2 linked regions of the Cricetulus griseus genome follow. The protein of the gene in region 2 interacts with the protein of the main gene of each other region in a pairwise test. Links are inferred from orthologs where the notes say so. Each region holds a gene or a part of one and is shown on either strand. Other genes may lie near its edges.

Region 1 (5,400 bases), on a different chromosome or scaffold from region 2:
AGAGGAAGCTGGCCTTCTTAAATACCGTCTCCCACTTCCATGCTGTGACCTTGATAAACCTATTCAAGATACCCACCTTGCTGATTAGAAAAAAGATTAAGATGAAATGGACTCGGCGCACCTGGTAGGCACTCCCCTTAATGATTACAACTGAAGAACTATCTCAGAGGTTTCTGACCTAGGGCTAAATTGCTTTCACTCTCTAATGACTAATGGATTGGCGGGATGGTCTAAGCTTTTGTCCTGGCCACCTGAACTGCTCAGCCCTGGGAGTCTTGACAAGCAATTTCCTTGGAATTAGCTTAATAATGCCTCGTAGGTGTGTGATGCATTTCAAAGAACTTTCCCATCATTATCTTGGGTCCTAGCCGGCAGCTGGGCTCAGAGAGAAGTGGCTTGCTCCAGGTCACATGGCACATGAGCCTGCAGCTTTCCCTGGTGTTAACTTCTAAGTGAACAGAAGGCAGACTACTGTGGTAGAGTAAAAAAGGTCCCTCAGAACTGAGGCTCACTGGAGGCACAGTCTGTAGCCTGCAGTACTCAGCAAGTCCGGGATTTTCACCCTCGATGGGCTGTATCCAGAGAACACAGCACAGCCTAACACACCATCCAAGGTGGAGATAACCAGTCTTAAGGTTATTTGGGGCAAGGGTTTCTCACATGGGAACTCCCGACCTCCAGAAGGTTGGAGGTCTGCTATTACTCTTAAAAAATTCATGTGTGCCTTCGGAAGGATGCTCATATCGTCCTTCAACTCATCAGAGGAAATCAGGACCCAGATCAGGATTAAAAACTATTCATCAGACTGTAGGATGATTGGCAAAGACAGAGGTTGCACCCCCCCCCTTTGACCCTGGTTCACCCCAAAAGGCTTACTAGGGTTAATGCACAAAGGGTAATGACATGACCCTTTTGTTATGAAATATTAGTAACTATGCCAAGACCCAACACACAGAGATCATATAAACAGGAATTCAGTGAGGCCAGGAGCCTGGTGCATCCCACCTGGGGAGGCACCGTGTTGGGGGTGAATAGATGGGACATGGGCTGATGTCTTTTTCTTTGCTGGCCAGTAAGATCCTAGTCATGCCCAACAAAATCCTAGTCAGTTTTCTCAAACTCACAGGTCAAAGTTAAAAGTTTAGAGCTCGAAGGGAACGTGCAGCATTGCTTCCCAGCTAGCCTGCATCTCCGACAGAGGCTGAAGATTTGAGAGACCCTGGTTTTGGTTTGGTTTTTCCAATACAGGCTCTTACTATGTAGCTCTGGTTGTCCTGGAACTCACTACCTACGTAGGCTTGCCTCAAATTCAGAGAAATGCCTATCTCTGCCTCCCAAGTGCTGGAATTAAAGGTGTGTTATCGCTATGCGCAGCAATTGAGGGTTTTTTGGTTTTGGAAGTCTAGAAGGAAGCTAGACCAGAAAGCATGAGGGAACTGAGACCAGGCCTGGCAGTCAGTTTATTCATCTCTGAAATGGGGCCACTCTTACCACATCCCCTGCAAAGAGCCAGGAAGGTAATTGTTTCAAGGGACTGAAAGAAAAATTCAGTCTTAAACTGCTGGGTAGTTTGCATCGGGTTTCTGTAATTGACAGGGTAGGATTGCAGATACTTGCTGTCAACCCCCAATGGATTTGGGGATTCCCATTCTTAGCCCTTTCAAATATCCACCCTATCCCTCAGCTTCAGCTGGGAACTTAACCCTAAGAGGGTACCCAAATTTGTTCCTCCCAAGATCCCAGGATATTTCCTAAAGACAGCCACATAAGAAATGGGGAGACGCCGCATATAATACACAAAGTGTTCAAAAATGTTTATTATGCAAAATGTTAACTTTTATAAAAAGTTTAATATACATCACATGATTACAGAAAGTCACCTTCCTGTAAAAAGGTACAAAAGCTATATACTCTATTATAGAGTTCATAATCAGGGCAGCAGAGCCGTTCTCCAAGGAGATCAGAAAACCAGCTCTTACGCTGCCTTGGCAGTGTGCAGGGCAGCCACACTCGCCCCCATTCTCGACACCCCCATTCTCGGAAAAGCCAGTCTTTTAAGACTTGGGAGTCAGGGTGGGGACCGGGTGACGTTGCCCAGCTGCTGACCAGCGCTAGCTCTTCAGGCCACCCAAGTTCAGTCCTTCGCTCTCGGGCTCCCAGTCCAGCCTCGAGGCAGGGGTTTAGGGGAAGTGAAGAGGGCCGGGCGAGATCGAGGCTCATCCATGCCCTCGGGCTTCCGGCCGGAGAGAGGGTCCCAGAGTCCCAGGGTCCCAAGCGGAACGGGCGCCAGCACCTGCGTTCTGGGCGGGGGAGAAGAGAAGAGTGAAGGAGCCGCCAGTTTCCGCCGAGCGCGCCCAGGCGGAGGCCGCCGCAGACTGGCCGGCGCCAGGGAGGAAACTTGGTCTCTACCTCCAGCTGATAACTCCGCGCCCCACACAAGCCTCCACCCAGTTGGCGCCAAAGGACCACAGGCGGAGCCACCACTCCCCCTCCCGCTTGGAAACGACACTAGTGGAAAGGGGGCTCCCTTTACTAAGAGTATTTGGTGCGATCCGCACGCCCGCTTGCCCAGGACCCCGGGTGAGCAGAGGCAGCACGCTTTAACATGCACGTGATATTGACACTGATACTGTCGTTTACTCTTAAGTGACCACCGACAAGCCTCTTGCCTCTTTCCTCGCTTGGGTTTCCCTAAACCAAGGAAACCCTAAGCCTTGCAAAGTCCTGTCAACCACAGGATTTCCCAAGCAAGCCTCCTTGCCCATGCCAGAAGCAAACTTACCGGGAGGTGCCAGGACCGCCGGGTCAGTGGCAAAAGCTCCTCTTGTCGTTGGAGATCACAAGTTCCGGAGTGAGCTCAGCTGTCTGTGAAAGGATAGGGGGCGAGTTAGCCAAGGCATTCGGGGAGTCGGTGGGAGAGACCCGCAGCATCCCAGCCCGCACGAGCAGCTCAACTCAGGCCCGCCTGCCGCCCCTGCGCACCTGGATCGGGAGATGTGGACTGTCCGGGGGTCCAGGCGCCGGCTCTGCCAGGACCACCTGCAGGTCGAGGATGTAGTCTATGACACGCTGCAGGATTTCCACCTGGCTAAGCTGAGTGCCTCGCGGGACTCCCGGCACCAGTTCCCGCAGGCGCGAGTAGCAGTGGTTCATGTCGTCCAGCAGGCTGAGCGGCTCCTCTGCCGCCGGGCTCTTGCCGCGGCCCCGCGCGATGGCCAGGCTGCGTTCCGAGAGGCAGCACACCGCTTCGTAGCAGCCGCGCACCGGGCTCAGCGCCTTCATGTTGAAGAGTGAGTGAAGCTGGAGGAGAGGAGGCGACAGCTAGAGCAGCAAACAGTCGGCGCACGCCTGCTGCAGCCGCCTCTTAAAGAGTCGCCCCGAGACCACGCCCCCTTATTCAAAATAGCCCGCCAGGCTCCACCCCGCTCCCTGGGCACCGCCTCCCCGACCCTGGGCGTCCACAGTGGGCTTAAATTGCTAACAGGCTTCCTTGGGCTGGTCTGACGCCGAGGACCGCTGAGGCGCGGATGCGAAGAATGAGGAAGCGCTGAGACTGAGGAGAGGCGGGGCTCTTGAGCCAGCAGAGATTTGAAAAATCAACCAAAACCATTAACTTTAAGAATTTGCCTTTTCTGGCGGCGCCCAAGATCCTTGAGCTCCCTTGCCCTCTGCCCAACACTGGTTCGAACCCACAGCTCCGTGATCATAAATCCCTGAAGGTCTCTCTCTCTCTCTCTCTCTCTCTCTCTCTCTCTCTCTCTCTCTCTCGAATTTTCAAGGGAAACTTGTAAGGAATTAGTGCCGCCTTGTTCCCCAATTTGCTGCTCGTCTGACCTCCAGACTCACTGGCGTCGGGAATTATCTTGTGACCAGAGGGGAAAAAAATTAATTGCGGTGAAGCTGAGGTTACAATGAAGAAAACAGATTTGGGCTAGGCGCTGAGATTGCAGAAGGAGGAGGGGAAAGGAGGCTTGAGCAAAGAACATTATTTATTTGAGCAACAGGGGAAGGGGGGTTAAGAGAGAGAGAGAGAGAGAGAGAGAGAGAGAGAGAGAGAGAGAGAAGAAAGCAGCCTAAATCCAAGCCTTTTCCATAGAGAAAGAAAAAGCATGAACCTTTGTCCCATGAACCCCCTTAAGGCTAAATGCATGCCCAGTTGTGCTTTGGAAGTGAATTTGATTAGAAGTTTGGAGGTTTCCGATACGGAGACTAGAAGGAATGATTTCTGCGTAAGCCCTTTAGAAGGTCCCCTCCACACACACATACATGCGCCAATGGGTCAGCAAATCTCTTCTAACTTGCTTCCTCATTTTGCACAGCCTCCCTCCCTCCCCACACTTTCCACATTCTGTGCAGAAAACAATAGCAACTGCCTCGCTCCCTCGGTTGTCTGTCCCTTTCTGCTGTGGAAGGGTAGCCACCTGGACGTCATTACTCTCATCCTGCTGAAGTGGCTCCATCACCGTCAGGAAGAGCCAGCAGGCAGGCTACCCCATATTGCAAAAGGATAGTGCACTCCCATAGTCTTTGCTGGTCTCCTCTCCACTTCCCAGACTCTAAAGACCCTGTAGTTCGGAGATTCTGAGTCCCATCTTGGAGAAGCCCAGGTGAGGTTCTCCCAGCCATGAGTGCTTTCTTCATCAGCCTAGTGAATATTTATAGGCTTCACATGAAACAGGCTTCTGCTCTCAAGAATCTCACAATGCCCGGGGATGAGATTAACACAGGAAACAATTAAGTGTTTAGTAGTGTGTGGCACTTCTCAACAGGACAATGGGACCTCTGAGCTAGGACAGTTCTAACAGTGGGAAGGACACTAGGAAGTCAGAGCCCTGGGTTCAATCAGCCAGCTCTGCCAGCCATTGGTCATCGACAAGTAATCGATGATACCCTCACTTTGCCTATTGAGAGGAGCAAGAAAGAGAGAGAGAGAGAGAGAGAGAGAGAGAGAGAGAGAGAGAGAGATGGCACTAAGGGGTTCTTTAAATACTTTCTGACTTAAGAACTCTACGCTTGTGTGACAGTTGGACAGGGCATGTGGGATAGCAAAGGGCTGGGAGGGGGCATAAAAAACATGTCCAGTATTCATCACAGGTAAAGCCAGTCTCGTTCTTTTCCATCACACCACAGGGCCCTGTGTCCCAGAAAAAGCCTCGGAAAGTTTTCTCCTGGGAATATTAAAGTTCTCAAGGACAGCGCTTTCAGTCTAAGGCAAAGGGAATCCAACCTGTAAAAACACAAGTCAGTCTCTATATGCTGAAGAAGTTAAATGCCAGTTATTTGGTCACGGGAAGGGAAATCTCCTTAGCTGTGAGGACTCCCGAGTAACTAACAGAGGGCCCTTTCTTTGACTGTCATGAAGACTTCTGTATGTTTGTGCAAAACAGTCAAGCCAGGAGC
Region 2 (5,754 bases):
ACTCCAGGAACAACTGCCGTCTTTCTTTTCATGGTTGCCCTTCTCTTTTGTGGTTCTGCCTCAGTGTTCCATATCAGGGCTCCATCAAGAGAGGCTGATGACGTACTTCCTTCCACTCATTCACTGATTGCCCAACTCAGCTGGCTCCAAAGGTTGCAGCAAGCACAGGTCTATATCTTCTTTGACTGACAGTCTAGTTGTATGACAAGCTATATTTGCTGGCTCCAAGGACACTTTCCAACTTCTTAAACTCTCCCGCTTTTTGCTGTTCTGTAACTGGTAATTCTGGATATTCAAAGGTCTCATCTTTGCTCTGGTGAGGACCTCACTAAGGACATAGCCAGATCACACTGTCAAAGGAAGCAGAGAATGAGAGAGATGGGTACCACTGTCCCTCCCGAGGGTGGGCCTTCTGCTGACTAGGGCCCCTCTCCTAAGTTCTTTCATTTTTATTTTTTTACATAGTGTGTACATGTCTGCATGAGTGTGTGCAGGTGCTCATGAAAGCCAGAAGAAGATATAGGCTCTTTTGTAGTAGAAGTTACCGGGGTTCATGAATGGTGTGTCCAACTCAAGCCCTCTGTAAGTACTCCTAGCTGATGGACCAGCTCTCTAACCTCTAGACTTCACTCCCTACCTCCCAACATTTACCCAAGGATGACCAAGCTTCCAACACAAGAGTCTTGAAGAAAAATCATATCTGAACCACAGCTGCTTACAAATGGCTAAGCTGGTGTGTGGTAGTTTATATTAGAGTGATCCTTGTGGGCTCATATGTTCGAATGCTTAGCCACCAGGAAGTGGAATTCTCCGAAGGATTAGAAGGATTAGGAGGTGTGGTCTTGATGGAGGAAGTGTGTTGCTAAGGGTAGGCTTTGAGGTTTCAAAAGCCCATGCCAGACTCAGCCCCATTTTTCTTCCTGCTACTTGTGGATCATAAAATAGAACTTTCAGCTACGTCTCCAGCATAAGTCTGCCTGAGTGCCACCATGCTCTCTGCTGTGACAGTGACAGTAATGGACTAAGCCTCTGAAACTGTAACCAGCCCTCTACTAAATGCTCTCTTTTATAAGAGTTGCCTTGGTCGTGGTGTCTTCTCACAACAATAGAACAGTGACTTGGACGTGGTGTGTTAGGTGCTGGGTAGCCAGCCCTCTGTGCAGAACAGGGGGAGAATCCACTCCTCTTGGCTTTCTGAATTTTTTTCTTCTATATCCTGCTACGCATTTCTCTCTGAAGTTGAGATAGTGCTTAGTATTGAAGGCATTTAACAGTCTTAGGTAAAAACATGCCGCATAGGGCCTCAACAAAATATTCATACAGTGAGGCCCAGTACAGAGTAGAAATCTCCAGATACAGCTCTCAGGGCTACAATCTACATACTGGGAAACTTTGGACATCAGAGTTACTTCGACCATTCTGTTTCAGTTTTCTTATCTGTGAACAAGAGGCTATAAAATCTACATATGCTGCATATAATATGCAGGATATATATGCATCTATATACACACATATGTGTATATATGTATGCTGGGAAAGCGTCTTTGTTATCTGATTCTCTCGGAGGAAACTGAGCAACCAATAGATTTTGTGAATTAGGCAAGGCCATGTGGGCTAAGAGGTCCCAGTGTTAATTCTGGCATCTTGGTTCTGTTCCAGGTGCATCTGCCAACCAAGCTTTCTACACCTATCCATGTTGTATCTGTTAGGCCGGACAGCAAGGAGGTAGAACAAAGAGAAGCCAGGATGGGGGCCACCAATGCAACACACTATTCTGTTAAAAACTAGGAGAGAGATGAATCTGAAAAAAAGAGTGAGAAAAATGACTGTTTTAAATTTGGTTTTATTGACCTTTAGGTAATGGGTTGGGAACTCTAAGCCTTAGGGCAAATTGGGTTTTTTTGTGGGAGGGAGAGGGGGGCTTGAGGAATTCGTGGTCATTCCTGTAATTGCAACACTTTGGAGGCTGAGGCAGGAGGATAGGCACCAGTGTGAGTTCACCTGAGATGGCATGGTAAACTCCAGGCTTTCCCAGCTACAGAGTAAGGATTTATCTCAAACGATAACCACAGTAACACTACCACAAGCAACCTTCCTCACATACATTACTGCAAAATATACATATAAGCAGAGCAACACCACGACATGACACACATTTAGAGTAGTGTTTTGAAGACAATCTCATCATGACTGTAAGCCCAAATTGTAGTTCATTACTTCCTAAAAATATGTGCAAGAAAGTGCACGCCACAAGTTGGCTTTGCCAAAGACAGCTGCATATTTCATAAAATGCCTGCTTCGGTGAGTTCCAGAGACACAACTGGAGACTATCAAGCAAATACGACCAATGCTTCATTTAAAACCAGAAACAGCATTGAAGCGTTTCTTTCCACAAGACATCACAAGACTGCAATCTATCAGTTAGAATTCTGTTCATTTCAAAGCGTTATTATTATTATTTTTCTTTAACCCTATGGCTCAGGTTTTAATTTTGTGGATGAGTCAAGATGTGTGGTCACAGGCAAACTCCCATTTCTTCCCAAGGGAAATGCCTGGCCATCCACGTGCTGACCAGCGTGTCACCTCCCTTCCATAGACTTCAGAGACCAGTTCCACTTTGCCTCTGGGGGAGACTCATCGTCTCTCACCACCTGGCGGCGACTCACTCCTCTAGGGCTGTAGCCCTCTCTCTGGACACCAATGGTCCCCTTCCCCACCATTCCCAAGTCAGACTCTCCTGTGCTCGGGTCCCTAGCACTCATGATTCTAGTCCTCTCTGCCCCGCATCCGCTCTTCCTGTAGATCAACTCCCCGGTTCTGAGGTCTCCCCTTCAAGACTCCCCTTCTTCTCTCATGTTTCCGGTCCACCGTCTCCATGACTCTCCGTATCCCCTCCTTCCCCTTCATTTCGAGTCCCCTTTCTGAGTATCCCCTGCCCAGCTAGGCTCTCCTCTCCCCGGATCTACGCTCTCCGTTTTAGGTCCCCATCCCTGGTGTCCTCTGCAAAACAGGGCTCTCCTACCTCCAGGATCTGTTCCTCCCGTTTTGGGTCCCTACAGGGGTGCGGTCTGCACAGCCCTGCTCGGGTCTGCCGGGTCTCCGCCCCACGGTCAGGGTACGCTGGCCACCGGTGTCTCTCCACGCGTGCTAGGGCAGCTGTCTGCTGGCTATTCTTGTGTACCAGGTCCGGCTGTGGACTGGGCGGCGGCAGGAGTACTCGCGCAAGACGGGGCCGGGGTCTAGGGCACTCAGAGGACTGTTGCGCGGTGGTGGTGGCGGCGGCGGCGGCTCAGCAGGCGGAGTGCAGCCGGCTCGGCTCCCGCCCTCGAGAACCCCCGCCGAGTCATTTGACCATATAAGGACACACGCGCAGGGGCGGCGGGCTGGGCGCGCGGGCCAAGGGAGCAGGGCGCGGTGGCGAGCGCCCCTCGATCGCCTGTCGTCGCGTGTTCCCCCCTGCTGCAGCTGCTGCGGACCCTTTGTTTGACTTAACGTTCTTCTTTACTTCCCGGTGTGTGGCGCACAGAGTCAAGCCTCCCTGCGCCCTGGCCTCCGCTCCAGGGGCCAGTGGCAGTGCAGTGCAGAGGGTTGTGGCCGCTGTCACCTAAGGGCAGAATGACATGGGTCTATTCTCACCAGGACCCTCCTCTGGGTTGCTGGGTCTGCGCCTGGTCGCCGTCTGGGCAAGCATGGGTGGGCCATTTGGAGATTTGGGGGAGGAACGATGTGTGCGTAGGGCATGCACTGGCATGGTAGTTTCCCCGGCCTTCCCTTGCAAATACCTCTCCGTGGTGGAATGAACCCAACCAATGACGTAAAGAATCTTTAATGACTCTGTTCCACCAGGTAGCTGACTGAGAGAAGGTTGAGAGCTGTTTAGCTGTTGACATTCAGTGGCTCCATGCAGGCAGAAAGCAAATGAAGGGCTTAATGTGTCCTTCATGCTCAAAGCCAAGGTCTTCTGCACAGAGCTGGCCCTTAGTAGGGACAGGAGGCAATGTCCAACATGGTGGTGGAAGGTACCCGCATCCCCACGTCTAGGAAGGGCAGCATCTGCTCTTGAGTAGGTGGGGGGCCCACATGCAGTGGCAGAGGCAAGGACTTCTCAGTGCTGTAACCTGACCAACAACTTAATGGAAGGATTCGTTTGGCTGCAGGGTTTATGAAGGAATACAGCTGGTCATCACTGAGATGGCATGGCCACTGTGAGAATGTCAAGTTGGTTGGTCACATTGCCTTCTCAGTCAGGAAACAGTTTAATTTCCCCTTTTCATCCAGTCTGAGAGGCCAGCTCTTGAGAGGTGCTGTCCACATTTGGGGGTCAGTCTTTGCCCCTCGGTTAAACCTCTCTGGAACTGCCCTCAAAGAGGTGTGTCTCCTAGGGGTTCCCAAGTTCAGCCAATCGACTGAAGGACCATCACAATGGTTTTGGGTGTAGGCATTCTCCAGGGGAGCTCGGGGTAACATATGTTAGAGAAGGCAGGGAGAGCTGTGGGATGGCTTTCTTCTCATTGATACTTCCTGACTGGCACCACAAGAGGATCCCCATGATGGAATCTCAGAACATGAGAGGCAAGGGGGGTCACATGACCTGTCACTTACTCGGCATCATATATATATATATATATATATATATATATATATATATATGTATATATATATATGGCCTCCCCAGGATGCTCAGCCCCTCTATGTAAAGTTAGTTATCTCAAACTGGGTGTTGGTGGCACATCCCTTTAATCCCAGCACTCGGGAGGCAGAGGCAGAAGATCTCTATGAGTTCGAGACCAGCCTGGTCTACAAGAGCTAGTTCCAGGACAACAGCCTCCAAAGCCACAGAGAAACCCTGTCTCGAAAAACAGATTTTACCAGCTGAGATTTTCACCGGTGTCTATGAGATAGCAAGGCCATTTCAGTATCGTAAAGGATCAGAAATTCCCAATTCCTGTGGCTCACTCAGGTGATTCCCTGTGGTTAACACTTTTCTCTGAGGAGAATGGACATGCTGAGATTTGACACAGGAAATCCATTCCACTCCTATCCCCATCTTCAAAGTGAGGCATACCCTAAGTGACTTACCACTGATGGTCAAGATAGGCTGAACTGTGGATTCAAAGCGAAGTGTATGTAGACAGACCAATCGCTCTGAAGCTACTAACATTTACTTTCTCTATGAAAAGTTACAGGTATCGAAATGGTCTAGGTCTCTTAAGCCTCGGTTTTAAATACAGGTTCAAAAAATAAACCAATTTATCCCCTTCCTGCTTCCTTTTGTTTTATTTGTTTAAATTGTGTGAGTTACTAATTGCTGCAGCTGTACCACACTGATTATGTTGCTTTCTTTATTAAAAAGTCCTGTGACTTATTCTTGTATTTTGCTTTCGACATTAGAGAGCTATTAAATACCTCAATGGTCTTACGGTGAGGAAAATTCAGTCTCTCAAAACAGACTTACCCATTTCTACAATAATGCTAAGCGAGACAGCAGGAGAAGACAATGCAGCAAAAACCAACCAACCAACCAAACAAACAAACAAACAAACAAAAAACACCAACAACCAACTAACCACAATTTATGCTTGGATTTTGATCACAAAACAAACTATTAAAAGAAGAAATTTTGTATGAGCCAATCTGGGAAATTCTGGCATTGATAGGGTATTTGATGACATTAATAAGTCAGTAGTTTATTTTTATATGGAATTACATATACATTTTTTTTCTTCTTCTTTAAAGCTCCCTTGCTTTTCAGAA

Evidence for each region. The genes of interacting proteins can lie anywhere in the genome.
Region 1: the proteins of Fhl2 (region 2) and Id3 interact in binary tests that used the Homo sapiens proteins (3 or more experiments, as listed by UniProt). The link is inferred for Cricetulus griseus from reciprocal best matches to the Homo sapiens genes FHL2 and ID3.

The regions. Positions count from the first base shown.
Region 1 is NC_048595.1:17,162,720-17,168,119, forward strand, and holds Id3 (DNA-binding protein inhibitor ID-3), read right to left. Parts: upstream 3,352-5,400; 5' UTR 3,283-3,351; coding exon 2,983-3,282; intron 2,866-2,982; coding exon 2,806-2,865; 3' UTR 2,783-2,805; intron 2,301-2,782; 3' UTR 1,791-2,300; downstream 1-1,790. UniProt on the Homo sapiens protein: Transcriptional regulator (lacking a basic DNA binding domain) which negatively regulates the basic helix-loop-helix (bHLH) transcription factors by forming heterodimers and inhibiting their DNA binding and transcriptional activity.
Region 2 is NW_023276807.1:5,337,690-5,343,443, reverse strand, and holds the start of Fhl2 (four and a half LIM domains protein 2), read right to left. Parts: upstream 3,334-5,754; 5' UTR 3,023-3,333; intron 1-3,022. UniProt on the Homo sapiens protein: May function as a molecular transmitter linking various signaling pathways to transcriptional regulation. Negatively regulates the transcriptional repressor E4F1 and may function in cell growth.